4 linked regions of the Astyanax mexicanus genome follow. The protein of the gene in region 2 interacts with the protein of the main gene of each other region in a pairwise test. Links are inferred from orthologs where the notes say so. Each region holds a gene or a part of one and is shown on either strand. Other genes may lie near its edges. The genes, in order: oip5, nup62l, iscu and agr1.

Region 1 (7,411 bases), on a different chromosome or scaffold from region 2:
TTGCTACTTTGGAGATACACATTTTTGTGGGGTTCAGTGTCCACTCAAACACACAATGTTCATTGATCCAGTCTGCTTTTATCTTAATGTGTCTTTAATACTCTAATGTAAATGAGTTCTGTTTTTATTGGCTGCAGTTATTGCTCCTCAATCAGAAAGCAGCCCATTAAAAACATTACAACATAGTGTGAATGGGTTACATACATTAATATGTAAATGTGCTGGATTTTATAATGTCAAAAAACAATGGGCCTCATTCACAAACCATTCACATCTTCCTAAGAACTTCTTGAATATGTTGAATAAATATCCTAACAAAAAGTCTCAGTCATGTTCACAATATGCTTTTAAAAACTGCTGATTTATTCTTTACAGCGCTGCTCTTATAATAATGAATCCTACTGTGAATGAAAAAGAAAATCCCAAATAAGAAAAAAAGGTGACTGTCAGAATCTTGTTTGAAGCTGTGTAAATTAGATCTTAGAAATACTTTTTTTTCTAAGAAATAAGGCCCAATGAACCCAAGCTGATTTTGCTACTTATTTTCCCTACATATGGTCTGTCTGTTTTAAAGACATATTAATATTTTTATGTACTAAACTAAACAAAATTTTAGTAAAAAGTAAAGGAAAATTCTCCCTTTAAAGTAATGGTATATGAGACTGAGCCGACCATGCTACACTTACCTCAATGATGTTTTTTCTTATAGGTCTGGTTTCAAAGCTGACTTTGGTAGCTTTCACCACGGTGCACTTGCTTAGCATGTAACTGAACAGGTTAAAATAAGTAAATACAATTTTATTTTTTTTTTCCCCAACACTTGGACACCACATTGTACTTATTTAAAAGCCAAAACAAAAACACATCTCACCAATTTAGAACTTCTTTCCGCAAGAGAAAGAGATTTCGCAAGCTGGACCAATGTGTTGGAGTGGAGTGCAGGATGACACCCATGCTGCGATGACAAATACCGCATTCAAGGACTCTGTAAGTGCTTCGTGACAAATAAGAAAAAGAGGACTTTTATTACAAATTTTAAAATAATAAAAACTAAAAATATTTATGCCACATTAGGGGACAGCTTACTTACCAAAAAGCCAGAGGACCCTCTAGACATACCTCAAACTTCCCTCTGACTTTTACGTCCTGAGTGACTTCTGCATGAACACATTTAAAATATTATGTTCATATTGTGTAAAACGGGTTATTTGAAATAAAACACTCCGATTTAATATTTTAACACTATTCTATAAACCGATTGTTAATAGCAATCTTTAAAGCGCAATTCACAGGCTGTGCATGCAAGAAACACTTAAACATCACACAGAAGAAAGAATACTGCATGGAGGAGTAGAAAAAACAGTTGATGTCAGGTTATTCTTTATATGGTTGCTGGAAACGTAATTTAGGTGTCAAATGCGTCTTATCAAACTTATGCACACAGAAGAAAAATAAATGTTGTTTATTCTGGGTGACAAACAGCAGTGCTGATCTGCCCACACACATCCTTGCCTCTCTGTATCTGCTGACTTAAACACGTTGTTTTGTATTTCATTAATCGCGTGGTCTGCTGAGCCTCATGTTCCCACCTGCATTCACAGTTTAAACTGCAGAGCACTGTGGACAGAGGCAATGCACTGACAAGATGCAGAAGATTCAGTTATAGGTTGCCAGGTCTGTATAGTACACTCAGAGGGGGATTGGTAGTTGAATACAGAACCCTCACTGGGGGATTTCTGACAGTAGTCCTAAGGTCTGAAAAGACTCATGTGAGATCATTCAGGAGAGAAGTTGTTGTAATCATAAGGCTCTGTGTGGTCCAGCTGACTAAGGCGCCGTCACTATGATCTGGAGATTGCTGGTTAAAATGTAGTTTGCCATCAGCTACCGGAGCTCTTGCTCTCTCTGGGTGGGTAGATGACACTCTCTCCCCTCATGGTAGGGTGATGTCGATCAGCACAAGGCATCTGTAAGCCGATGTATCGCAAAGAAGTCGCTGCGCTGTCCTCTGAGCATGCTGGTTAATTGGCAATGCTGCATCAGATACAATGGATACAAGAGACCACTTAAAAATGGTGAGTTTCTTTGATTTTACCAAATTAAAAACCTCTGGAAAATAATCAAGAGGAAGATGGATCAAGAAGCCATCAAACCAAACTGAATTGCTTGAATTTTTGCACCAGGAGTAAAGGCATAAAGTTATCCAAAAGCAGTGTGTAAAACTGGTGGAGGAGAACATGCCAAGATGCATAAAACTGTGAAAGAAAAACAGGGTTATTACACAAAATATTGATTTCTGAACTCTTAAAACTTTATGAATATGAACTTGTTTTCTTTGCATCATTTCATGTCTGAAGGCTCTGCTCTTTTTTTTATTATTTCAGCCGTTTCTCATTTTCTAAATGTCTAAATGTCAATATTTTTATTTGGAATTTGGGAGAAATGTTGACTGTAGTTTATATAATAAAACAACAATGTTTATTTTACTCAAACATATACCTATAAATAGCTAAATTACAGTAACTGATTCAGAAACTGAAGTTGTCTCTTGTTTTTTTTTTCTAATGAAATGTTTTCTGACAATTTCTGACAATAAAAGCACTTCAATAACGCAGTTAACTTCTTTACAAATGTTTTATCTCACACTGAAAACAGAAACTTACTCAGGCAAATGATGGATTTGATACTCTTAGCCTCCCCACAGGCGGACAGGGAGTCAGCTATGACCGTGCTGCACTTGGCGCAGTGTAGAACACAGCACCGCTCATAGTCCACCGTGTGCTCCCCCGGCTCCTCCACAGCTCTCAGCTGCTCCACAACTACGCTGCTCTGGGTGCTATCGCAGTCATAGCTGTCCGTTAGGAAACTGGGCTTTCTGTGAGACATTTTCTACACTGGCGAGAATTTACACCGTGCTAAACAACCAAAACACACACAGCTCTCACTCTAACAAACAGTGTGATGATAGACTCCGCCCATGTTCAGGCTACGAACCAATCAGCGCTACAAACATGTTACCGTCTCCAGCGCTCCTAGCCAATCAGGAAACGAGGTGGCAAAATTTGAACTGTGGTTTTCAACCGACGCAGGCGCGTTCTCCCTTCAGTCACCCACCTAAAGAAACGCGTTTGGTTCGGTCTTGGACATACTGCGACCGTTTCTCTCTCTTTTTGTTTGTTTGTATCGTCTACATTGTCTAGATTTGGTCTTGGAGATGGATTTGGACTCCCTCAAATATGGAGACCTGCAGCAGCTCGCCAAAAGCGTTGGTTTGAAAGCTAACATGAAGGTGAGGCCGACATATATGTACGTTAACACTAATTTAGTTAGGGGCAGCTAGCTAACTGAGTTCGTTGTATAGCTTTCCGCTATAGGTTATTTCAGGTCCACCTTAACTGCTGCACGGCGTGGTCTGGCCCACATAAACATACAGTGTAGGTTAATGATGCTAACTGTGCACGTTTTAAGGTAGCAGGCTAGAATTCAAGGTTCAATTCAAGATTCATTAGCTTGCTAGTTAACCTATGTTTAAACTTATCTAACGTATTTAGCTAGGTTGGCTAATCTTTGTTTTTATATGGCTGTTCTAGTTATTAAAAATAAGTAGATTAAGCTATTTATTTAAGGCATATTTATAAGCGCAGACAATTGTTTCTGTGGCTGTGCGATATAAAAGCACTATTGCAATCAATACCAGGATATTTCACGGTGGTTTTGCGATAAATATATTATTGGCAGTATGTCAAAACACTGAAAAAATAATAAATACATTTAATTAAATTCAACAACCTACAGTCGTAACAAAGTACCTGTAAGTTATTATACGTAATACAAATATTATTGGTAGTATGTCAACACTGAATCTACTGCTGTAACAAAATAGATGTTACATGTTAAATTATTAATTACTGTAAGTATAAGGGTTTAAATTATTTAGTTGAAACAAATAGTATGTAAAAACAGTAACTTACCAAGACTTTTAATATAATAGTAGTTATTGTTATTGTTATTATTGTAGCAAAATATACTGCTTTCAAGAATTGTGACATTTATCACAAATGTTTGGTGATGATATTGTGTACCATATGATACGATATGGCACACCCCTAGTTGAGAATATTTAGTGCATGACTATACACTGCAAACGTAAGATTTAATGCTTCTAATACTCCCAAAGCTACAATGTCCCACTGCCACTGCTGATTTATTTATCCCCTTAATACCTTAAGCTAAATGTCTTATTATTCAGCATTAATTCTAATGTAAAATCTGTTGTGGTAGTATATATAAGGTTTATAAAATCTTGTAGTATTGCACAGGGTATTATTTTGGCTCCTAAAATGTATTTTTATCATGGCAGTTATTTAATAAAGAGAGTAAATCAGTGTGAGATTGCTCCTCTTTTTCCCTTCCCTTCCCTTCTCAGATAAATGGAACCAAACCTATCCATGTGTTTTTCTTTTAGGCTGAGAAGTTGCTGAAGGCCCTGAAGCAGCACTTTGAGCAACAAGAGAGCTCAGAGAATGTGAGTCCCCCAATTTCATTACACACCTTTTACAGCCTTTTAAGTTTGTGGTTTTTAGGTTTCAGGTGAAATACAGATATTTAAGCATTTTCCAGTTTGTCACCAGATTTTACCTGTGATATAATGTTCCTTTGGTAGACATGTCATGGAGAGTTTTAAATTCTCTTGGGTCTCCAAGTTTAAAAAAAAAAAAAAAAGTTTAATAAAATCATATATTTGATATTGCACATACTGCAATGCAATGTGACTCTTGTTTTATACAAATAAGTTCTTGTTTTAAAACATAAGTGTGGCTATAAATCTCATATTATAAATGCATTACATCCCTCAGGCAAATAATGTTGATGCTCAGGCAGAGGATGAGGTCAAGTCCTCAAATGTGACCAAGCGCCGCAGGAAGAGTGAAAGCATGAAGAGGAAGCATTCTGACCAGGGCAGTACAGACAATGAGCCCAAAGTGGAAGTGAGCCCAGCCCAGGTAAGTCATATCATTAACAACCTCGGTTATGTTAAAAAACAAACAGTTCATCGTGTTTAAAAAAAAAAATCACCAGAAACATTTAACCATTTTTAGGACAATGCTGAGCTTCATGATGCAGAGCAGGGCAGAAGAAGCTCAAAAAGGAGAAAAGTGTCTTCAACTAAGGGCACAGAGACTCCGGCTGTAGCTGAGGATCCCAAGGAGAGCAAAGCAGACGCAAAACCAAAGTCTGTTAATGTTACTCAGCAGGCTGCTCAAGGTATGCATTTGCCAGTACATTCATTCTAAACATCAAACTTTAATTATGCTGTCTACAGGTAACTCATTTTATATATCCACAGTCTTAACTCCATAGATAATAATTCATATGATTTTATTTGTTTGAATATTTTTGTTATTGTTGTATTATTTCATGAAAGTCATGTCAGTTTAATGTAAAAGGAAATTTACAATCAAACTCATATTTTGATAGTATGTAAAAGATGCGCTTAAGCTTAAAGAGCACTAGTTGAGAGTGAAGGATTTGGGAGCACAGATGCACTCAGTTTTTTGGCTGTGCTAACCGTTTTTGGAAATTATTGGAGGAAAACTGTAAAAAGAGGAATTTGGATTTGCATTTTCTTATGTGAAGAGTTGTTGTTGTTGTTAAATGTGTCTACTACTTTTCTTGAGTGCCTCCTATTTCCTGAATGACACACATACTGGATCTGCTGCTATAACATGTATGAATAGTTTGAATGCTTTTAAGGGTTGTTTTGTTTTCCACAGGTGTGGAAAAGAAGACTGCTGGCAGAATTCCTCGTCATGAGGGTCTGTTGAAGAAGACGAAGGCACCTCTGAGACCGACCACTCCTAGTAAAGTTTAATTTTCTGTCTGTTAGGGTTGGGCAGTATGATGGCATTTATTATTGGGGTAAATTGTAATTGTATGACTTCGGGAATTCAGAAAAACTGCATGTTTTATTGCAGTAAGTGCTTAATTAGACTAATTTAGTTAATTGCACTTGTGCAGGGCTGTATATTATGCTATGGGGCAATTTTAATTATAATTTCACTTAATATCCATCTTTTTCATTGACACTTGTCCAGTTTTAGTTTCCAATGCATTTTTGTGAGATCGACCTGTTATCTGATTTTTATTATTTTATGTAGAGCAAAAATCAGCTACTAATCACATTACTAAATACTAATGCACATGATTGTTAATATTATTGTTTTGTGTATATATAATGGCCAAAACATTCCAGGATCCAGAATCCTGAATGCATGCAGATACCAAAGCCCAATTTACAAGTTATGTTGATCATGAATATACTTCTAAATGTAAAAGCAAACCGAGGGAACACAAGAGAGAGTCTTCATAGACAATCCAGGCATGTGCATGTGAAAGATGGTAATAGACACATATATAAAATGTATAAGGATAGCAAGATCAGGTTCTGTGTTTCAGCTGTGTTGTGTTGGTGTTCTGGTCATTGTGCTTTACATAATGTATTTTGTATTTGTTACTTTAGACTTTAAGAAACTCCATGAGGCACACTTCAATAAGATGGAGTCTATCGACTCTTACGTACAGAGGAAAAACAAGCAGATGGATGCTCTCAGAAGCTCTGTTAAGGAACTAAAGGTACATTTGATTGATTTGTGAGTGTATTTAGCTTTTAAGTTAAAGCATGTGGGTTAAGCATCTGTAAATAGTAAAGTAGTGATGTATTAAGGGTGTGCATTAATTTCAGGCACAATCTGAAAACAGTGCAAAGAAACCTGGTGATGCGAAGATTCAGGCTGTGAGTAAAAAGTTGCTTTAGATTAGTTTGTAATTTGTAAAACCAGTCTTGAGCTGTAAAAGGGACTCAAAAATACATGTTCATTTGCAGAAGCCGCCTGCCAGTCGTGCAACATTGTTTAGCCCGGGCCTACAGGAGAGGAAACCAACTTCAGAGAAACGCAGGTTCACCCCAATCCTGGTCAACAGATCTGCAAAAAAGAACAGTGTCCCCTTCAGGCCAGCTGTCCTTTCAGTCAACAAAATCAATGTCAGGTAAGATGCAGACAGTATTTGGAAATGGTCGTTTGATTCCTTCATGTGATATTTAGGGGTAAATATGAGGTTTTAGGTCGAAAATTACTTTATTTAAAACTATTTATCCCATCCACATAACAGATGTAGGTAAAGTGAAGTAAAAAGAAACTTTCTTTTTCAGGTTTTCTGAGGCCACGCAGGACAATGAGCACAAGCGTTCTTTGGTGAAGACTCCAGCTAGGATGTCTCCTATGGTTCCCTTCACTCCCACTCCTGGCAGGAAGTCTGATGTTCGCACCAAACCAGAGATTAACAAGAACGCTGCCGCAGTGAACAAAACTCCAGGTAAGAACAATGGAGATAAACGGTGAGCCTTTATGAA
Region 2 (7,413 bases):
TAATACATGACATTATTTTTAAGCGATTGGCTCCAAAGATACAAATTTTGTTTGTTTGTTTCTAACAATGATTCACATTTTATTCATATTTCAGCTTAGTCTTATAGAAGAAAAAGTGTGATTATTCGTCATTAATCATGGTATTCAATTTTAATCAATTTACAAAATGCTATACTGGTCATATCTCAGTTATAATCTTTAAAACTAAGATTTTTTGGGGGGGATTCATCTACAGGAAGAAGTCAGACGTATTTGTCCTCGCAGCAGCAGACGACTTGTATTACCACTGGCTGTTTATCATCGCCACCGCTGTGCTGTACAACTGGTGTCTACTGGTGGCCAGGTAAAAAACACCTGTCTTATTCTTACCTGTCTTACTGGTGGTGATTTAAAATGTTAAATATTTGCTTAATAGAAGGAATAAATATGTATTTCTAAAATTATACGAACAACAATTCAGTAAAAAAAACATTTAAGCTTTTAATACAGATCTGCTTTAGAGCTGGCCTGGTTGAGATGTTCCCTACATAGAAAAACAACAATTTAAGAGCTTCAAACCTAATGAATCGAGCAGGTCTAATTTAGATACTCATTTTTATGCTGATTTATGTAAATATCTGCAATTGTGCCCAGTGCAAAGGGGCATTTCCTGTGGCAGGCTCACAATTTAGCCATTGATATTTCAAACACAGGGCCTGCTTTGATGAGCTTCAAACCAACAACTACATTGTGTGGCTGGTTCTGGATTACCTCTCTGATCTGGTCTACATACTGGACACCTGTGTGAGACTGAGAACAGGTCAGAAGCCTCGGTCAACAGTCACAACACTCAAAAGTCTGAAAAAAAATTGCATTTATTGAAATAATGTACTAAATGTTGTACTTTTGGTTCTAGAAATGATTTTATATTGTTTTTTAATCACCTGAATCCAAATTACAAGAAAATAATTACATGAATTTCCACACCGCAGGTTACCTGGAGCAGGGTCTTCTGGTGAAGGACCTCAAAAAGTTAAGAGACACCTACATCAGCAACCTCCAGTTTAAGCTGGACCTCCTGTCCATCCTGCCCACAGACCTGGCGTACATCGCTACTGGAATCCACGTACCGGAGCTGCGATTCAATCGTCTGATGCGCTTCTCTCGGTTGTTTGAGTTCTTTGATCGTACGGAAACTCGCACAAGCTATCCGAACACTTTCCGCATTGGAAACCTGGTGCTCTACATCTTGGTCATCATCCACTGGAACGCCTGCATCTACTTCGCCATTTCGAAGTCTCTTGGCTTCGGCTCAGACCAGTGGGTCTACCCTAACATCTCGGATCCCGAGTTTGGTGCTCTCTCAAGAGGCTACATCTACTGCCTCTACTGGTCCACCCTCACGCTCACCACCATTGGCGAGATGCCTGCACCAGTGCGTGACGAGGAGTACCTCTTCGTGATCTTCGACTTCCTAGTGGGTGTCCTCATCTTTGCCACCATTGTTGGCAACGTAGGAGCCATGATATCCAACATGAACGCCACACGTGCCGAGTTCCAAGCCCGCATCGACTCCATCAAGCACTACATGCAGTTCCGCAAGGTCAGTAAGGAGCTGGAGGCTCGGGTCATCAAATGGTTTGACTACCTGTGGACCAACAAGAAGGCAATCGATGAGCAAGAGGTGCTCAAGAACCTTCCCAACAAGCTTCGGGCGGAAATCGCCATCAACGTGCACCTGGAGACTCTGAAGAAGGTGCGGATCTTGCAGGACTGTGAAGCAGGGCTCTTAGTGGAGCTCGTTCTGAAGCTTCGGCCTCAAGTCTTCAGCCCGGGCGACTACGTCTGTCGGAAAGGAGACATTGGGAAGGAGATGTACATCATTAAAGAAGGTCGGCTGGCGGTGGTCGCTGACGACGGCGTGACGCAGTTCGCCCTCCTGACTTCTGGCAGCTGCTTCGGCGAGATCAGCATCCTCAACATCAAGGGCAGCAAGATGGGCAACCGGCGCACGGCCAACATCCGAAGCATCGGCTACTCGGACCTCTTCTGCCTGTCCAAGGATGACTTGATGGAGGCGGTGATAGAATACCCTGATGCCAAGAAGGTGCTGGAGGAGAGGGGCCGAGAGATCCTCCGGAAGGAGGGACTGCTGGAGGAGCTGAGGGCAGGGGGGCTTACAGGAGAACAGATGGAGGAGAAAGTGGAACGACTGGAGACGTCCCTGGATACCCTGCAGACCCGCTTCGCCCGGCTGCTGGGGGAATACACGGCTACACAGCAGAGACTCAAACAGAGGGTCACCACTCTGGAGAGCAGGATGCAGCTTTCAGGCAGCGGGTTTCTGTCCGATGGTAACGAGAGCACTACCGATGGTGACGGCACTCACAGCGAGGTCAACATTCAGCTCTGAATGGAACTGGGTCTTTATTATGGGTCTTAATTCCATGATTATTCTAGACTCAGGGAGAACAAGTGGCTCAGAGGCTTGTTGGTTAAAGGAGAACTCTGGTGTAAAATGGACTTTTGTTGTAGTAAAACATGATAAAATATTCTTTCCTTTGATGAATAGCACACCTCCGTTCTCCCACAGCGTTCAGAGATCCAGACATTTTAACAGTTTGTCCAAACACCCTTCAGACTGGGAGATACGGGGCAAAATTTGCCTTGATGAATCACTTTTTACACCGTTATCCAGCTCAAAGTAGCTCCACACCTCCTCACTAGAATCCGAAGAGCCCTGACATTTAAAACGAGGCATTAATAACTTAAGGTAAGTACTTTTTTTTCATGTTTTACTTCTCCAAAAGTCCATTTTACACCGGAGTTCTCCTATAACACATTTCATGTTTTTTCCATGGTATTCCATGTCTTCGTGTCTGGGTTTCCTCCCACTGTCCAAAAACATGGTTAACAGGTTAAATGGAAACTCTGAATTGCCCTGGTGTGTATACTGTATGTGTGGGTGTAATTATGTATGAGAGTGTGTATGTATGTTTAAAACTTTTTAGAGCTTTTGAGACATTTTTTATACTTTTGCTAATTTCATTTTATAATAGTCTTTTAAGGACATCTGGAATCTGAAAAGGCAAAGGCTATGTTTAATGTCATTAAAAATAGATGTCTTTAGTGTCCACTAAAGCTGATATCCATATTTTAGTCAAAAATGTAAATAGCTCAGTGTTTTTAAATAGGTCAATAAATCAATAGGTCAATGGGTCACTTTATATGAGTCATTACCAGTTGGAGACAATATTTAACAATAAAATGTTTGTTTTGGGTGAAGACTGAAACATGTAAAGGCTGTATATATGTATATAAACTTTGACTTGTATTATTGTACTACATAAACTTTGAAGCTGATTTTTGTTTGAAACACAGATTAAAGATATTGTGTTTTAGTTTATTTCGTACTTTGTTTCTCTGGTCTTTGCTCCCATCTCACAAAAACACACATACTATGTGAAATAAAACTGATAAACCTGTTGCATGTGTACGCAGAAGAACATAAGAAGGTGGGTATAAAGAAAGAACATTTTAGTCTATGAAAACTCGTCAGAAAATGGATTAAAATTGAAATGTCAATATTTCAAATAATCAAATATCATCAAATCAATATTTCATTATAGCAGCGCCGCTGGACTGGAACATTAACTCCCCTTCGTATGATTGGAACTATTCTTTTCCATTATTTATAGAAAATATCGTTTGTAATTAAGCCTGTCTCCCAAATCACACACATACATTTTTTAAAATAAACACTACACAATAAATACACGCTAAATACAATTAGGTGGGGTCTTGTGCAGTTTGGGACACAGCCCTATAGTCTATATGATTTTTTTTTGTATTTTACCTCTGCTTTAACTAATACATTTTACTTTTTATTATTTTTTTTTTATTTGCATGCACTTGATTTTTTTTAAATATAAAAATACCAATATTCAATATACCAAAAAGACAGTTTAGTGGTCTCATAGTAAGCAAGGGAATAAATTGAATAAGAAAAAAAACGTAAAACGTACCTTATTAGGTACTTTTATGCAACTTTTAGACAGATTTTAACTATATTAATTGCCTCATTTAATTTTTGACAAAAATTTAAAGAAAACTACCAACCACTACTATACAACTCTTAATGTTTAATGGAAAATATATAAATATGTGTTTGTTTTACTCTTAATAGTCTAACGCATTCAAAGTTGAATTTTAAATACAGCTAAATTTGATTTTATATATATAAAAAAATATATTTACATTATTATTATAAAACTCTATAAAACGGTATAAAGAGAAGAGCCTTTATTTTAAACAGGCAAACGTAGGGGAAACTCCGGCTCGATCACAATTGACTCCCTTCCTTTATGCTAGGGACTGTTCTAAATGCGGTTAACAGCCTTTATTAATGGACTATGTAGTTCACTATGTAGGCAGCATGAAGCGTTTGAGATGTGCCCTCTGGTCCTGCGCAGTGTCAGTAGCGCCGCGCTGACGGACTTGTTTTTCCGCGCGAGGAGTTTTACAGGAATGGGATCCGGCTTTCTGCACTTTTTCTGAGGTAAATCAGTTGTACTGCTGTTTCAGGATTTATTCTCAGTTACTGCAGAGTTTATTATTATAGATTAAATCACATCAGCAGGAGTGTTTAGGTAACAAGCTTAACATTAGCCTAGTTCACTTAGTTAGCGAGCAGAGCTAACAACATAGCTAAGCTAAGCTAACTAGCGAAAGCATGACTAGCTGAGAGCTGAGCCGGGTAATTACTTTACCTTATTTACTTTATTTACCTCAACACAGCAAGAGTGTGTGTTTATCTCTAGCTTTCTATAAGTCTATATCTCTATACATATGTCTATATGACTTTTATACACACACACACACACACTGTGCGTAGATGGAGAGAGATAAGTCCCTTTAAAGTGTAAATTTGGTATAAACAAGAACACAAGCAAAGCAACAGCACATAAAAACATTAGAAAAGTTAATAATATCTAAATCATATTAAATAATATAAAATAATTAAAATTCCATATTTAGTAATCTCAGGAAATGTACTATAATCTTATTCAGTTCTTTAAGATGCTGTCAATTATCTGGAGACGATAGGACATTGGGACAGTCAGCAAAATTGGTGGTATTATCTAGCCCCCATGCCAGACTTGAATTATTTTGTAAAATTTCTCTTATAATTTATAATAATCTTATAATAATAATAAAGTCAACATTGAGGGATGTACTGTAATAAATCATGAACAGGGTTGCTTTAAAAGAGACAACTTGTTTTGTAACGATCCTATTTATTAATATTCTTTATCTAATATTTCAGTATTTAAAGAGAGGAAGATGTCCTTCAGTTTCGGACAGGCCAGTGCTGGTTCTGGCTTTACTTTTGGAACCCCTAAAACTACCAGCTCAGCTCCGGCTGCTGCTACAGGTTTTGGACAGCTGACCAGCACCCCGGCCGCAGGGGGCTTTACGTTCGGAGCCCCGACTCAGCCTCAGGCCCAGCCCCAGACCCAGGCTTCCATCGGGACGTCTCAGATCGCAGGACTGCTCGCTCAGCCCGCGGCCAACAATGGAGCTTCACAGGGGGGATTTAGTTTCGGTGCTGCGACGCAGAACACCGCTCCTGCTCCTGGAGGATTCTCCTTCGGGTAAGACTTTTTGTACAGGTATTACTGAGAGAAGACGCTGTACTGATAGATACAGGGGTTGGAGAATGAAACTGAAACAGCTGGTTTTAGAGCACAATAATTGATTGTGGTGACGGACAGTTCTGGTGGAAACAGGAGAGTTGAGGTGCACATTGAATTCTGCGTGATTTGATCAGCCGTGGTTTTATGTTTTTTGGATACAATCCGGGTTAGCACCCGAACATCCCTTTCAGACAGCTTCCTCTTACAGCGTCCACAGTTAATCCTGTTGGATGTGGTTGGTCCTTTACCCTGGATACCGTGGCTCTTGATGCATCACAAAGACTTGCTGTCTTGGTCACAGATGCTCCAGCAAGACGTGCACCAACAATTTGTCCTCTTTTGAACTCTGGTATGTCTCCCATAATGTTGTGTGCATTGCAATATTTAGAGCAGAACTGTGCTCTTACCCTGCTAATTGAACCTTCACACTCTGCTCTTACTGGTGCAATAATGTGCAGTTAATGAAGATTGAACACCAGGCTGCTCCAATTTAGCCATGAAACCTAAAATCCCACACTAAAATGATGACAGGTGTTTCAGTTTCATTATCCAACCCCTGTATGTCTACCTACAGTGGCTTTTCAAAGTATTCATACCCCTTAAACATTTTAACATTGTGTTGTCTTACAACCACAAAGTTAAATGTATTTTATGGAGATTTTAAATGATGGACCAACACAAATTAGCACATAATTGTAAAGTGGAACGAAGATGATCGATAATTATAACATTTTTAATCAAATAAAAATTTGAAAAGTGTGATGTTATAAAGAAGAATGGGGTAAAATAATTAAAATAATTTTAAATGTTTTCTCACTTCTAGTGCACCCACTGCGAAACTAGGCCTGGGCCTGCCTACTGCCTCTCAGCCTGCCAGTACTGGAGTGTCTCTGGGGGGTCTAGCAGCACCTTCCTCCACTGGAACAGGCTTTACACTGGGAGGTCTTGGTGCTCAGACTACAGCCGGAGCTCAGCCGTCTACAGGAGGCTTCAGCTTCGGGATGACCAAAGTTCAGACCACTGCAGCCCCGGCAGTGCAGACCACTCCCGCCCTGTCGCTGGGTGTGCAGCCTACAGGTCTGTGGTTTATCCTGATTTTAGGATTAGGGGTTGGCGATATAGCCCTAAAACAATATCACTATATTTCATGGCATTTTCGTGATAACAATACTCTTGGCAATATGAAAAAACACTTAATTAAAAAAAATATATTGTCCCTATTCAGGACAGTACCAGGGGTCTGCATGGGTACAATTAACTTTTATTTTATGTTCTGGCAGAAATCATTTATATAGCTATTCAGTACTTGATTATTTTGTGATTTAAATATTGGCTATTGGATTCTGAATCAGTGTTTCTGATTTTGCTATTTTAGGTGTATTTTGCGTAAGTTACAAGAAAAAGATTTAAGAGTTCAGAAATCAATATTTGGTGGAATAACCCTGTTTCTTTATGCATCTTAACATGTTTTCCACCACCAGTCTTACACACTGCTTTTGGATAACTTTATGCTGCTTTACTCCTGGTGCAAAAATGCATGTAGTTCAGTTTGGTGGTTTGATGGCTTGTGATCATCCATCTTCCTCTTGATTTAAATTTGGTAAAATCAAAGAAACTCATAATTTTAAAGATTCATACAGTTTTAATGACACCATTCTTTTCTTTTCTCTTTTTTCACCCTCTCCTCTTTCCTTCTGTTGGTCAGGTCTCACAAGTACTGCACCCGTCTCTACAGGCC
Region 3 (7,819 bases), on a different chromosome or scaffold from region 2:
CCGATTTAGTCCTTACTAAGATTTTACTAATAAAAACTCTAATTGCAGGTCTCTGTATTGATGTAGGTCATTAGTGGAAACTCTAATTTCAGATATGATTCAGAAATAATTACTTGTAATAATGTCAGGTCTACAGTGATATAAAATCATTCTGAATAGATGTAATTCCAAAAGCACACATCCTTAACATAATTCTATAAATCCCTTACTACTGACCATTGAGATATAATTTTTCTTTTTTAGTAGTAGATATTTTAATTTTGGATATCTCCACTGTAATTCTGACAAGTTAAATGTCCAGTTCCACATATTAATAAATTAGTGTTGATTCCTATAAATCATAATTCAAGATATGCAGTTAGGAGTAGTAGGGTTGGGTGATATGGCCAACATCTATATTTGAAGAACACACTAATTGCAACAAAATAAATATTAACATTTATTTGGCGATAATATTGCATATGATATATTATGGCACACTCCTAAATGAGAAGTGAATTCTACACATAGCAAAAAAGTTGTACCCTAATCGCCCTAAAATTATATGACATGCGATAATGATTATTGCATACGAAATTATATGATTATATCTACAGTTTGAGTTTTGACTAGTCATGATAACGGTACAATATTTTTAAATAATATGTAACAATAAGAATTACTTTATCTAGAACTAGAATTACTTACTAGATGTCTAGAACTACAATTTCTAAAAATAAAAAAGTGCAAATATCTTATTTTTTTTTATAGTTAAGTGTGTTAAACTTTATGGAAATCAGTGATAACATCGAAATTACATTAAAAATGTGCTCTATGGCTTTATAAAGCTTTAGATCTGATACTTTTTACTAGTAAAGGTGCCATAGCTGATAACTTAAACTAATATTTCCTCCAGTAAAAGCTGCATTACAGTGACCTTGTTTTACCTGTAAACACTGAGATAGCCAGGACTTGTAACCCATCACTGGTGTCAAAATTCACCTGATAATGACAATGACCTCAGAAAACAGTGTACCTACCTATTACAATAATTCAAGATTCCGCTAATATAAAGTTCTAATGAGCATTTCTGATAGTTTTAGATAGAAAACAATATAATGTTTGATATCTACAATATTTAACTGTGTACTAACACAAATGTAATTGCAGAGATCTGTAATTAAAGTTTTTACTAGTAAACTGTACTTTAAAATGCATGCAGATCAGTGGTAACATGACAGAATTACATTAAAATTATGCTCTATGTCTGTATAAAGCTTTAGATCTGATAGTATTACTAGTAAATGTGTCATAACATTTATTCTGCATTACAGTGTCCTTGTTTTCACCAGTAAACATGGAATTGGGTATCTAGGCATTCTCTCTCTGGTGTCATTTTAGGCAAATCTGCGTGTTGTAAGTACCTAAATCCCACAAACATGTTTAATTTAAAGAAAAATACATCTAATAATGACAATGACCAACTCATACCTCAAGATATCTCTAATATTTAATTCTGATGAGCCTTTTGGATAGTTTTAGATCAAAAATAAATGTATCAATAACTATAGTTTTCACTAGTAAAAATGTACTTAGAGATAGTTAATATTAAAGCAGATCAGTGGTAACATGACAAAATTACATGAAAAAATATGTGCTTTACAGATTTATAAAGCTCTATATCTGATATTATTACTAGTAAAGGTACCATAGCAGTTGTTCTGCATCACAGTGACCATGTTTTTACCAGTAAAAACTGAGTTGGGTAGCTACGCACTTCGACTCTGATGTCATTTTAGGTTAAAAAATGCTTAATTTAAAGAAAAATACACCAGACAATGACAATGACCTTGAAAAACAGATTCCCTATTCATCATAACTCAATATATCTTTAAAACGTAGTTCTAACAGTTTTAGATAGCAAATAGCATATTTTTGGATATCTACAATGTTGAACAGTTACTACGAACACAAAAGTAATTCTGTCTGTAACTACAGATTTGACAAGTAAATGTATACTTTAAAATGCAAATAATATACATTTACTATACGTAACTATATTAGTTTTTACAGGTAAAAATGTACTTATAGTTAAAAGCATGCAGATCAGCATTAACATGACAAAATTATACCATGTCTGTATAAAGCTTTAGATCTGATATTATTACTAGCTAAGGTACCATAGCATTTATTCTGTATTACAGTGACCTTGTTTTCACCAGTCAATACTGAGTTGAGTAAGTTAGCTAGATCTCTAGGGTCATTTTAGGTTGAAACTGCTCGTCATAAGTGCCTTAACCGCACAAACATGCTTAATTTAAAGGAAAGTAAGACCAGAACTTCGATAAACATGTAATCCACCCACCTATATAATCAGCTACAATACAAGAAGCTTCACTTCTGAGGCTGCAGCTGCTCAGCGGATTTCCCCAGTCCACCTTAAATTCCCCAGCAATAACAGGGCGGCGCACGTGAAGGTGCCTGTCTGTATCAGCAGTAGGATTTAAGGTGGAACGGAAGATTCGACTACGCATCAAACTTAGCTTGGTTTAACGTTACTTATCCAGGTCAAACAATAACTGTCACTTATCTAAGCGAGGACACCGCGCTGTGAACAGATAAATAATTATGTAGTGTTATATCCTGCTGTAGAAGGGCTTTGTACTTGTTTTTCTGAAAGTCTCGAGCAGTTAAGCTTTATAATAAATATAAAACAGAGCGGAACTCGCTAGTGTTAGCAGCACTAGCTCGCTATGCTAACGGAGGATTAGCGCCCCAGACAGCAGCGCTGTTAGCTAACAGGCTTAAAGTGCGCAGACACACACAGCCCGGTTAGTTTCACAGCTCAGAAAAGCGCGCAGTGTTTAACAGCCACCGACCTTCTTGTGGTAGCAGCACACCGCCTTCGCCTCCGTGCCCGTCAGAGTTCTGCCAAACAGCCCAAAGGACGAGAAGCACTTCCCCACCGACGACAGCGCCATGTCTCCACTGCCGACTCTCCGACTCCACACAGACACTGATAATAACAGCCGCTGTGAAGGACAGACAGCAGGGGGCGCTGTTAGACCTGGGTGTATCTCAAATTCCAGACATGCTGACTTGATGCATTGCTGCCTACACTAGCTCCCTCAGAAGGCAGTATGTTGATGAAGGATGTGTCTCCGATTTTAAAAGCAGCATTAAAGTATTCTATAGAGTATAAATTACAGAGTACAGAGTATAAAGTATAGAGTATACATTATATAATATAGAGTATAAAGTAGAGTATAGAGTACAGAGTTTAGAGTACAGAGTATAAGTTATAAATATAAATAGAGTATAAAGTATTAAGTACAGAGTATAGAGTACAGAATGTAGAGTATAGAGGACAGAGTATAGAATATAGAGTAGGGTTGCCACCTTTCCCGAATTAAAACAGGGGAAAACAAGTGCCTGTGGAATCAAAAAAAAAAAAAAAATGGGACGGGTGGCAATCTTAGTATAGGCAGCCTACTGCTAGAAATAAGTGTTTATCTGGGTTATTATTAGTTGTTAGCAATTTCAGCCACTAAAAAATACTAGTGTTGTAGTACTCCAGTCTGTCCTTGATCTCAAGACCATAAACCAGATTTGGAATTGTTTTTGTCTTACTTTCAGGAGAGATGGACTCAGAGACCCAGAAATTCCAATGTGTCTCTCCTAGGTAATGCTTATTCGAAACCAAAAATACAAACCCACACAATCAATGTTAAAAAGGACAATAACCCAGTGTTATTTTCTGACATTTTTTTTAATGTGATAAGCTAATGGTGCAGACTGCAACCACTGTCAACTCCTCAAACCAGAGCGAATAGGGTTAGCTGTGGTGCTATTGGTGGGTCTGTTTGTTTATATTAAAGGTGAGGTGCTAGACTAATACCGTATGTATGTTTATCAGATAATTAATGTTTCAGAATAATAGAGATATGATGAGACAACTTATGCCCCAGTCCTAATATGTCCTGTGTGTGGCAAGTTAATCAGCCATGTATACAGTTGCAAGAAAAAGTATGTGAACCCTTTGAGATCACTTGGATTTCTAAATTAATTAATTATCAAATGTGTTGTGATCTTTATCTAAGTCACAGCAATAGACAAACACAGTCTGCCTAAACTAATACTACACAAACAATATATGTTTGCATGGTTTTATTGAAAACAACATGTTAACATTCACAGTGCAGGGTGAAAAAAGTATGTGAACCTTTGGATTTAATAAATGGTTGATCCGCCTTTGGCAGCAAAAACCTAAAAAAAACGTTTCCTGTAGCTGCAGATCAGACCTGCAGTCAGGAGGAATTCCTCTTTACAAAACTGTTTCAGTTCAGCTATAATATTCTTGGGATATCTGGTGTGAATCGCTCTCTTGAGGCCATGATGCCACAGCATCTCAATTGGGTTCAGGAGGACAGGACTCTCCAGAAGGCGGATTTTCTTCTGTTGAAGCCGTTCAGTTGTTGATTTAATTCGGTTTTGGGTCGTTGTCCTGTTGCATCATCCATCCTCTGTTGAGCTTCAGTTGGAGGATAGATCTTAAGTTTTCCTGCAAAATGTATTGGAAAACTTGGGAATTCATTTTTTTGTTGATGACGGCAATCCGTCCAGGCCCTGAAGCAGCAAAGCAGCCCCAAAACATAATACCCCCTCCACCATGTTTCACAGTTGGGATGAGGTTTTGATGATGGTGTGTTGTGCATTTTTATACACATAGCGCTGTGTGTTCCTTCCAAACAACTCAGTTTTGGTTTCATCTGTCCACAGTTTATTTAGCCAGTACTGCTGTGTAGAACATCCAGGTGCTCAATTGCAAACTTCAAACGTGCAGTATTGTTTTTTTGGACAGCAGTGGCTTCCTCTGTGGTGTCCTGTTTTCTTTATTGTAGATCTGTCAACAGAAATGTTAGCATGTGCCAGAGATTTCAGAGAGTCTTTAGCTGACACTCTAAGATTCTTCCTCACCTCATTGATCATTCTGCGCTGTGCTCTTGCAGTCATCTTTACAGGACAAACACGCCTAGAGAGAGTAGCAACAGTGCTGAACTTTTTCCATTTGTAGAGCGTTTGTATTACCGTGGAAACATAAACATCAAGGCTTTTAGAGATAATTTAGTGACCCTTTCGAGCTTCATGCAAGTCATCAATTCTTGAACGTAGGTCTTTTGAGAGCTCTTTTGTGTGAAGCATGATTCACATCAAGCAATACTTCTTAAGAGCAGCACACTCTAAACTGGCATTGGTTTTTATAGGACAGGTCATCTTTAACCAACACATCCAATCTCATCACATCCTGCCTCCAATTAGCTCTTAGAAAAGTCATTAGCCTAGGGGTTCACATACTTTGTCCCTCCCTCACTGTGAATGTTAACATGTTGTGTTAAAAAAACATGCAAACATATATTTATGTGTATGGTATTGGTTTAAGCAGACTGTGTTTGTCTATTGTTCTGATTTAGATGAAGAACAGAACACATTTAATGACCAATTTATGCAGAGATCCAAGTAATCCCAAAGGGTTCACATACTTTTTCTTGCAACTATATATTAATATTGGATTGCTTTACCAAAGAAAAAAGAAGGTACAGGTGAGAAAAGTAAAGTGAAATGATGGGATTTTACTGTCCAGTGTGAGCAGAGGTCTGAAAAATACATTCTGAGTTCTGAGGAACTTTCCACTTTTAGCTATTTAAATTAGACCAGGTAATAGAGAATGTGGGAGGAATGTTTGATAACAGTTTTACAGGTTTACCTACTTATATGATAAAAAAATACTTAAAATGAAAGTAACATACCCGTCCTAAATACATAATAGTTTGTTTGTCTCCTGTAAACTCTGCTTAACTTCATTTACAGTCCAGTTTATTTTTTTTAGGGGAAAAAGAGCAGCGAGGCTGAACAACAAGGTAGTAATGCTCTGCTAATGTTGCTGCTGTTAAAGATTTTCACATATACAATAGAATAAGCAAATGGTGCCCTGTAACTGCAGGACTATTTACAATGTAACAGCTTTATTCACACATCATTATTAGTTAGGTCTGGTATATATTTTAATCAGCTTTTCTCAAATTTGCTGGATGGATTTCTATTCAAAGTCCATTCCATTTGAGGAATTTATTTTCAAGAGATGGTAAAATGGCTATTTCACTGTGGTTTTAGAAATACAGCCATGCCAGAATTAGTTCATGAAGTAAAAAACACTTTTTCTTCTGTCGTCCTGCAGGCAAAACTACTAATCCCAAACATCAGTGAACTTATGGCCAATTTCCTGATTTCTTTTTTTCTCTATTTTGCTGTATATATCTGTTAGTTTGTGTAGCGAAAACAGTTGAAATGTATTTGTACATGTCATTTTCCAACCTTGCATCTTCTACAACTAAGTCTCAGATTGTGCTACTTGGTCTTTAAGACTGATATATGCAAATTGTTCTTTTCTGATTGGCTGGTCTGTATGGCGCCTAATTCCTGGGCTGTTTATTTATTTTTATTTGGTTATTTCAACAGGAAGAATCAGAAACCGCACAGAATTGGTTGACATAAAAAGGAAAAAATAAAATAAAAACATCCATGAGGGTACAGTTATGCAAAGCGTCCTGCCCACAGTTCTTACAGTCATTCTATTTGTGTATCCTAAACTAAAAAACATAAAATTGTGAAAAAAAAAATCTGGCAAACAGTTTCTTTAAATATATGAGCAGAAGTGGTTAAACATTTAGATGGTTGACATGTGACCCTGACTTCACGCTAATGCCATGTAATTGTAGAAACAAACAATGGGTCTATTCTGGCATTACTCCTTTAAAGTATATTTGTCAGATACATATTCATACATGAAAAAAACTGAATAATATATAAAGTAAATAGAACATATAAAACAACAAAAAAAGATAAAGTGTATATGTCATATTCCGCCAAATCTGTGACATTTCTTTCCCCAGGAAATTACATGTATAAATGTGCACAGGAAAAACTTTACTTTAAAATACATTTTATTATTGAGCATAATGTCTTGTACACTGACCAAATTCCTTCAGAGATGTAATAAATATGCTTTAATTTTTTTTCCACAATAGATTCATTATATTTAAGTTAAAATACACATTTTAGTTGTGTGCCTGAGTTACCGTAACACATTACCCCATCTGAAACATCTGGAACATTCTACAATTCACATCTACAACATGAAGTGACATCAGTTGGTTCATCTGAAGACCATGGGAAGACAAAAATTAATATTTTTTGTGTATTTGATCTTATTGTAACTATTGACTGAGGGGGCCACTCTCAACACTCTGTCCTGTAATCTAAATTAATTCTTAAATCTTATTTATTTTTAAAATACAATTTTTGGGAAAATCACTCAATGTGCTCAATTTCCTCATGCTTTTTTCATGTTTTTGCAAATTCTATGCTAAAAGCTCATTCTTCTTAATTTTATACCTGTTGTTAAAAACACAAAAAGTAACAGGAGTGATTTTTTTTGTCATAAATATCAATTATTAGACATGCAGTCAACCATTTCTTTAAAATAAAAACTTTCTTGAGAGGAAATGAAAGGAAACAGTGGACTTGCTTTTAAACATGCATTTTAAGCTTACATGAGTTTTGTAACCACCATTTACAAGCTTAGACATATGTGTTATTAGATTCATAGTTGAAAAAGGATAAAAAAACTAAGTTTAATTTGGAAGAGTTACAACAAGCAAATTGCAGCCATTGGGTGGAATAGCGCAATATCAAGTTAAAATGTTCAACAAACTGCTGTCAGAAACAAATAATTAAAAATAAATTTCTTTTTCTCCTCCGCTTGGCGGGAAACGAGCTGCGA
Region 4 (6,875 bases), on a different chromosome or scaffold from region 2:
ATCTTGACATGTTCCTCTCCACCAGTCTTACACACTGCTTTTGGATAACTTTATGCCAATCCTGGTGCAAAAACTCAAGCAGTTCAGTTTGGTTTGATGGCTTGTGATCATCCATCTTCCTCTTGATTATATTCCAGAGATTTTCAATACGGTAAAATATAATAAACTAATCATTTTAACTGTTCTCTCATTTTTGTTCCAGAGCTGTAGATGATGTGACTAGTCAGAATGTGTTTAGCTATAGCTCTGTAGATCTGACATAATCACTATTAAAACTTTCAGACATTATATTTCAATATATAAAACTAGGCTAACTATACACAGGTTACAGAGATCTGCAGCTACTTAAGCTAGCTAACTTGAGTTTTGACTAGTAAAATGAGAGTTAGGACCCGAGTTTGGTACTGGTAATGTGTGTCTAGTCAGAATGTGTTTAGCTACACATAGATCTGTAGATCTACAGATCTAGTAACTAAACATTTCAGAGATGATATCTGAAATAATAGTTTCTATTAGTAAAAACTAACTAGCTAACTTAGCGTTAAGTTAGCTACAGAGATCTGTCACGAGCTAGGTTAGCTAATTAGCCAACTTGAGTTTCACTAGTAAAAACTTGGGCTTGGACTAGCCCTTGTAGCTAGTTAGCTGAAGCTGGTGGTGTTACTTTAGGCTATAACGGTGGGCTATAATCTACAGTGGTGGTGAAGCCAGAGCAAAACTTGGAAAGGTGCAAAACAGCAGAAGAACAACCACCTCACATCACCTTACAGCACTAATCCAGATCTGCAGCTCCCTGCAGAGCTCAGGAGAGCTTAAGTAGGAGTGCTAACCGTTAGTTAGCCTGTAATGCTGTGCGCATCTGGACCGACTGAGCCGAGGAGTTCAGAGCCAGACACAGTAACGTTAGTGAGCTAGTTAAATTATCCAGCTATAGTTACGTGATGTTTAGCGGTTTAAGCTAATTTCTCGGTAAATAACCGAACAGACAGCTCTCCTCCGGACTCACCTCGCTTAATATATCGTGCAGGTATCGGAACGGCGGTTTGCTGAGCAGTTTTTCAGTCAGGGGAGGCTTCTTTATCACTCTCCCCAGAACCTCCTGGGTCTTTTTAGCCACCGAGCCGTTCATAGCAAAGCCCTACGGTCCTCTATTCGACGTTACCGCTGCTCCCGTGTGAAATATTGAGTAATTCACCGCAAAAAGACCCCAAAAACGGAGGAGCTACAATCACTGAGCGGCTCTCAGTGTTGCTGTGTCAATAGCGTTCAATCCCACAATGCCCCGCTTCGCCAATATGCGCACGCGCACACCCTGCGTGGTTGTCAAGGGGTGGCAAATATCCATGGCAACGGCTAACAACTCCGGGCCTGTTTAATAGCATGATACACTTTAGCTAAAGCTAATACAGGATTTTAGCTAAAAACACATTTTATTATACATTAAACATATGAAAAAATTAAACATAAAACATTTACTGCACAATATACTGACTATAACAGAATAGAGAGTAATGGAGAGTAATGTTTATATGAATATAAATATTTAAAGGGGATATAGATGAACTCCTACTACTTATAATGATAGTAATAATAATAATAATAATAATAATAATAATAATAATAATAATAATAATTTTGCAACGATCAATTAATCAGTCAATCTTTATTTTTTTCTCAGAGGTAGCTGCACTGAGGGTGAGCCCGTATTTTCATTGCCGCCAACAATTTCCAATAATAGGGATTTATACTCTTTACATAAAAAAAAAATAAAACAGAGGACAGTAATCAAGCTAAAACTAATGGAAAAAAACCCCGAAAATAATCATTATTATTAATTAATATTAAACTGAAATTAAGACTTTTTTAAAAAGAGTTCAGAAAACCCAGATAGCAGATCTAGGGAAATACATAATAAGAAGGTAAACCAAAGATAAAGATAAATAGGTATAAGAAAGGTTTAAAAACAAGAAAATGTAAACAATTCAATGTAATATTTTAAGTACAAAAAATAAACTTAAGCTAACTAACTAATAATGAAATTATACAATAATAAAATATTATTGATGATAAAATAATAAACAAACATAAACAAACAAATAAATAAAAAGTGATTTGAAAAAAGTAGTTAAGGTTAAGAAAAACAGGTAGAGGCAGAATGGATGTGGTTAAAAATTAAAGTATAAAATGACTGAGTGAAATGCGGAATTTTCCAGTTAAGTAAAACATTTTGTTCAGGTTTACCAGAAGAATAAAAGTAACTAGTTTTTATATATAAGTAATTTAAACATCTCTCTGCATGTGCCCATATAGACATGAAATCCTTTAAATAATTTCAATGGTATTTTGTCTACCTTGGCCTTAGCCAAAATAGTACAATGGTTTAAAACTACAATGGTAAAAATACTGTTGAATAATTCAAGATGTCCTTGATATTTATATGATACTATTGAGTATTGTGGTATATTGAATATACCACTGCACATTTAGTACCATGAAATACCATCATACCATGGAAAAACTGCTGTATTTTTTCACATTAGATGGATTTATTAATATTAGGCTACAGTATAAAAAGCTGTCCAGTGGTGGCTCAGCTGCAAGTTCTGGATTGCTAATTACAGGGCTGTGGGCTTGCTATAACTATAAATGCAAAAAGGCACATTATTATTGCAATCAAAGTAAGTGTTACAACAGTGAAAGTGAAATAATAGTTACAGGTTATGAAATAGATCCAATTCCAATGAGCCAATTCACAATATCACTGATTGCAGAGCACTGCCTGTGCTAAAATCTGGCTTGTTCACTCTTTGACACACCTAAAAAAATCTGCCGGTCCCATGAACAAAGCTACAGACAGGGAAAAAACCACACCTTTAATTCATAACAGCCTCTAGGCCTCTAACTGGTTTAAGCAAATTCTGTGCTTCAACATACACAACAAAGGCAGCCACACATTCTTAATTACAAATCACCCCTGTATAGTTCCAAAGCAAGATCAATACACCCCTGTGATTAACAACTGAACAGGTGTTATTTTCTTATTTTATATTTTCTCCATCTTTTATTCCCCCCAATTTAGCTTAGCTAATGAACCTGCTCTCACATTAGGATGTCCTCTATCACTATTAATTCTGTTACATGTGAAGCCAGTCGTTGTTTCTTCAAATGCAGAATCACTAGGTAATCAATGAGCTTAGAAAAAAGCACCAAATCCCTAGTTCTGATACATCAGTCAACATACATCTGTGCCAGCCAGCATCACAGACAGTGCCATCTACCTACCCGGACAAAAAGAGAATGGGTGGCAAGGCAGCTTGACCTGTGATTTGAGCATCTGGTCCTTGTGCCATAGTGTCACCTTCTTATGAAAAGAGGTTCTTTTCCTGAAATTCTGAACCTGCATGCTGTATCTCTACAGGTCATGCCTAAAACCAATTTTATCTCCACCAATCCACAGGACGTGTTTCTTTGAAAACTTGTGTCACAAGAAAAGTATTCTTTTGCCTACATATAGGTCACAATATAAAAGTGCACTACCACCCCAAAGTCAGAGTCAATCTTCCTTAAGGTCTTTTACAGTCAAAGAGTGGGTTTTGATTTTCCTTTTTCGAAACCAGTCAAATGTAAAATTTGGGGGGGGGGGGGACTCAAAACTAAGCATATTAAATATCAGATCATCTTCTATTTACTTCAGTATTTCTTTAGTAAGAGATCAGTATTTGTCCAAGTGTAACCTGTGCATGATTCCCATTAGTGCTAGTAAACAAAACATGAAAAAATAATTGTAAATTGTGGTTTATATGAATGTGAGAATTTGAGTCATTGAAAAGCTACTGGGAGGAGGACGTCTTGTTTAGCCATGTGTTCGTACGTGTATTCAGACCTGTTTGGCGAGTTCTTTTAAGCTATAAATGCACCTGCACCACCATGAATACTGTCAGACTGACAGAGCAGAAGAGCAAAGCTGGTTCAGCCGTTTCACTTTTGGTAAGATTTCTTTTTACTTAAAAACTGGTATTTATTGTTTTTTAATTAATTATGTATTATTGGGAAATTGAAAGGTGTTGTGTTTATGCTTGGCTGTGACAAATTAAATGTCATATTTGTTTAAGTTGTGTAAAGTGTATATCTGTGATTTTTTTTTTTTCGTTTTTGACAACAGTATAATTTATTTTCACACAACTGGGATAAGTGTAAGCTAATATTGAGATATAGAGGAAGTTATGAACAATTATTATAATCAAAACAAGATGCTAATGCTTTTACCAGCCTGTCTAAACATGCATTTCTAAAAAAAAAAAAACTAATCACATGCAGGGTTCTCAATATTTACTCCACAACATGATTTGTAAAAAAAAAATCATAAAGGAATGGTCATAAAGTAGCTTTTGAATAGACCAGTTATTTGTATATTCAGACCAGTTTGGTGGGTTTCATAGCTATACATATACCTGCATACCTGTGGGTTCTGTCAGACAATTTTTTTATGTCTACAAAATGTTTTGTTTATTGTATTGGCCCAATGTGTATGTCATTAATACAAATAAATGTGTGTAGATATTTTATAATTAAAAAAGTAGCTGTTAAACAGACCAGTTGGCCATATATTCAGACCTCTTTGGTGAGTTTCATAGCTGTAAATACACTCGCATGTGTGTGAGTTCTGTCATATAAAATGTGTTTAGGCTCATGTTAGCAATTGCAGGAAGATTTTTCAATAAATCTATTATATCCTGATTTGTAAAACATCCTCAAGAAAAACTACACCTACAAACAGTGCAGTTGCCTTTTAAACCGACCAGTTAATCATGTCCAACCACTTGCTCAACCAGCCACCTCCTCTTTTTTTTTTAAGCAATCCCTTTAATAGCTACAGGCTGCAATGTGAAAGGGGTATGGTACTTAACTAAACACATTCCACCATACTGATCATACTGATAATTTAACACTTAACACAGACATGTGCACAATATACTCACTGTTTGTCTGATTCTTACAGTAATCATGGGCCGCTGGTGTGTGTACGCATTGCTCTTCTTCTTATCCTGTGACGTCTCCATGCAAAGAAAAAAGAAAGTAGTCCAGACTCTCTCCAGAGGTAAGATCATTTCAAAATATGTATACGTATTTTTCCACACTATAAGGTGCACTGGATTTTAAGATGCATTATGCGACACTAGCAATGAACAGTGGTGTCGCCCTGTTTTCCTTCTGATTCAGCAGGTCTTGCCACTGGGTGACGAGACCTTTAAATCTAAGCCATGCAAAGTAACAAAACTATAATTCAAATAAGCACTGGATGTTAATCTACACAGATTTCTCTCCTAAATACAGTTTATTTGGGTGAGTAAGGAGCTTCTATTTATTTGCTGCAAGCTTAGATTTCCAGATTTCCTTAAGTGTTCCGGTAAACCAGGGTGCTATTAGCTAGTGGTTTACAGGTTAGACAGGTTAACCTGGTAGCAGGTTACAGACCGATAATACTCACCTCTGAACGGCGAAAGAGCTAGCTAATGCTAATACTGCTCAAGTTTTGAGTCTTGGGGCTGGAGAACCAAACTAAAACTCCTGTATAACACTGCACTTCAGCAGAGTGGCTTTACTGCTCCTTACAACCTTTCTTAAGTAAGGCCATGAAAAAAAACTCTTGGATTTAAATTTGTAAAAGAAAAACTGTCTTTGTTTTAACTAGACTGACTCTTATTGCACTAAATTAGGATGATGTGTCCTGTAGATCAAACAAATTTGAAAATGTGCTATAAAAAGAGCCCATATATATATATATATATATATATATATATATATATATATATATATATATATATATATATATATATATATATCTTTTATGCTATATCTACTTGACTGTGTCCCAATGGGTGCTGTTTCTTGTAGAAAACTAGAGGTCCTACAGGTAAGAAAACATAAAGAAGTTCACATTTAGATGCAATAAACCAACCAGTGTGCCAGTTGTCATTCGCTTTAAGAGCCAGGTGTGCTCAGACTTTGGCACATTGCTATTTCAATGCCACAGCTACCTGGACATGTCCACTGCTTCTTAGCAGAGGAAACTGACCTGCTTGTTCATTCTGTTTATTGTTGATGTAAACATTTCCACCACGCCCATTGGTATAGATATATTCACAAACATTGTTGCTATTTAAACGAGTCAGGTTCAAGGCGTGACTATAGACTGTTAGCAGGGTGTAAGATAGCAATGAGCATTGCAACACAACCATAATGTTATGTTGCATTAAAATAATTACAGTTCAAAAATTCAAAGACTTAAAATATTAATGTGTTTGTGAATGCTGCAAATTTTCTGAGGTCATCTGGCACCCCAGCTTGGAATGCTTTATTTACCACCAGTACTCTATACAGTCCTACTGGTCTAAAGTAACACAATAAACTGGTGTGATTTATATAAAACTGAATGTAAAAGACCTTAACAGAAGGAATGTAATCAGAAATAAAGGAATTATTAAATAGGACAGTTATTAAATATTAAGAACTAAAATGCAACATACCAAATTCTATCTCTGCTTCCAGTACTGATATGGTCACTAGGATTGTCACTTGTGTTTTTACTTTACCTGGTTGAGTTGAACTGTTGCTTTATTTCAGGCTGGGGAGATGACATCACCTGGGTTCAAACATATGAAGAGGGTCTATCAAAAATGAGAGCAAGGTAAGATTAACTGTTAAATCAGTCTTTTGTCTGAGAGCTGCAGAATTCTTTATTATAGTTATGGATATGTCTTCTGTTTTATCACTACAGCAACAAGCCTTTAATGGTCATTCATCATCTAGAAGAATGTCCACACAGTCAAGGTCTGTAATATTTCTCTATTGTTCATTATGCATGTTTTTAGAAA

What was found.
Region 1: the proteins of nup62l (region 2) and oip5 interact in binary tests that used the Homo sapiens proteins (3 or more experiments, as listed by UniProt). The two-hybrid records come from large-scale screens. The link is inferred for Astyanax mexicanus from reciprocal best matches to the Homo sapiens genes NUP62 and OIP5.
Region 3: the proteins of nup62l (region 2) and iscu interact in binary tests that used the Homo sapiens proteins (3 or more experiments, as listed by UniProt). The two-hybrid records come from large-scale screens. The link is inferred for Astyanax mexicanus from reciprocal best matches to the Homo sapiens genes NUP62 and ISCU.
Region 4: the proteins of nup62l (region 2) and agr1 interact in binary tests that used the Homo sapiens proteins (3 or more experiments, as listed by UniProt). The two-hybrid records come from large-scale screens. The link is inferred for Astyanax mexicanus from reciprocal best matches to the Homo sapiens genes NUP62 and AGR3.

Annotation. Positions count from the first base shown.
Region 1 is NC_064414.1:7,791,666-7,799,076, forward strand, and holds the start of oip5 (protein Mis18-beta), read right to left. Parts: upstream 3,007-7,411; 5' UTR 2,887-3,006; coding exon 2,664-2,886; intron 1,158-2,663; coding exon 1,091-1,157; intron 995-1,090; coding exon 872-994; intron 769-871; coding exon 687-768; intron 1-686. Other genes in the region: nusap1 (nucleolar and spindle-associated protein 1), read left to right, coding at 3,215-3,289, 4,466-4,525, 4,857-5,003, 5,100-5,265, 5,775-5,861, 6,521-6,633, 6,743-6,793, 6,884-7,047 and 1 more. UniProt on the Homo sapiens protein: Required for recruitment of CENPA to centromeres and normal chromosome segregation during mitosis.
Region 2 is NC_064417.1:1,308,462-1,315,874, forward strand, and holds the start of nup62l (nucleoporin 62 like), read left to right. Parts: upstream 1-4,411; 5' UTR 4,412-4,537; intron 4,538-5,305; 5' UTR 5,306-5,322; coding exon 5,323-5,633; intron 5,634-6,498; coding exon 6,499-6,752; intron 6,753-7,380; coding exon 7,381-7,413. Other genes in the region: cnga2a (cyclic nucleotide gated channel subunit alpha 2a), read left to right, coding at 236-343, 693-799, 972-2,392. UniProt on the Homo sapiens protein: Essential component of the nuclear pore complex. The N-terminal is probably involved in nucleocytoplasmic transport.
Region 3 is NC_064429.1:3,638,706-3,646,524, forward strand, and holds the start of iscu (iron-sulfur cluster assembly enzyme ISCU, mitochondrial), read right to left. Parts: upstream 3,016-7,819; 5' UTR 2,961-3,015; coding exon 2,859-2,960; intron 1-2,858.
Region 4 is NC_064418.1:38,617,551-38,624,425, reverse strand, and holds the start of agr1 (anterior gradient 1), read left to right. Parts: upstream 1-3,863; 5' UTR 3,864-3,911; coding exon 3,912-3,987; intron 3,988-4,999; coding exon 5,000-5,098; intron 5,099-6,624; coding exon 6,625-6,688; intron 6,689-6,778; coding exon 6,779-6,831; intron 6,832-6,875. Other genes in the region: traf3ip1 (TRAF3-interacting protein 1), read right to left, coding at 1,007-1,129. UniProt on the Homo sapiens protein: Required for calcium-mediated regulation of ciliary beat frequency and mucociliary clearance in the airway. Might be involved in the regulation of intracellular calcium in tracheal epithelial cells.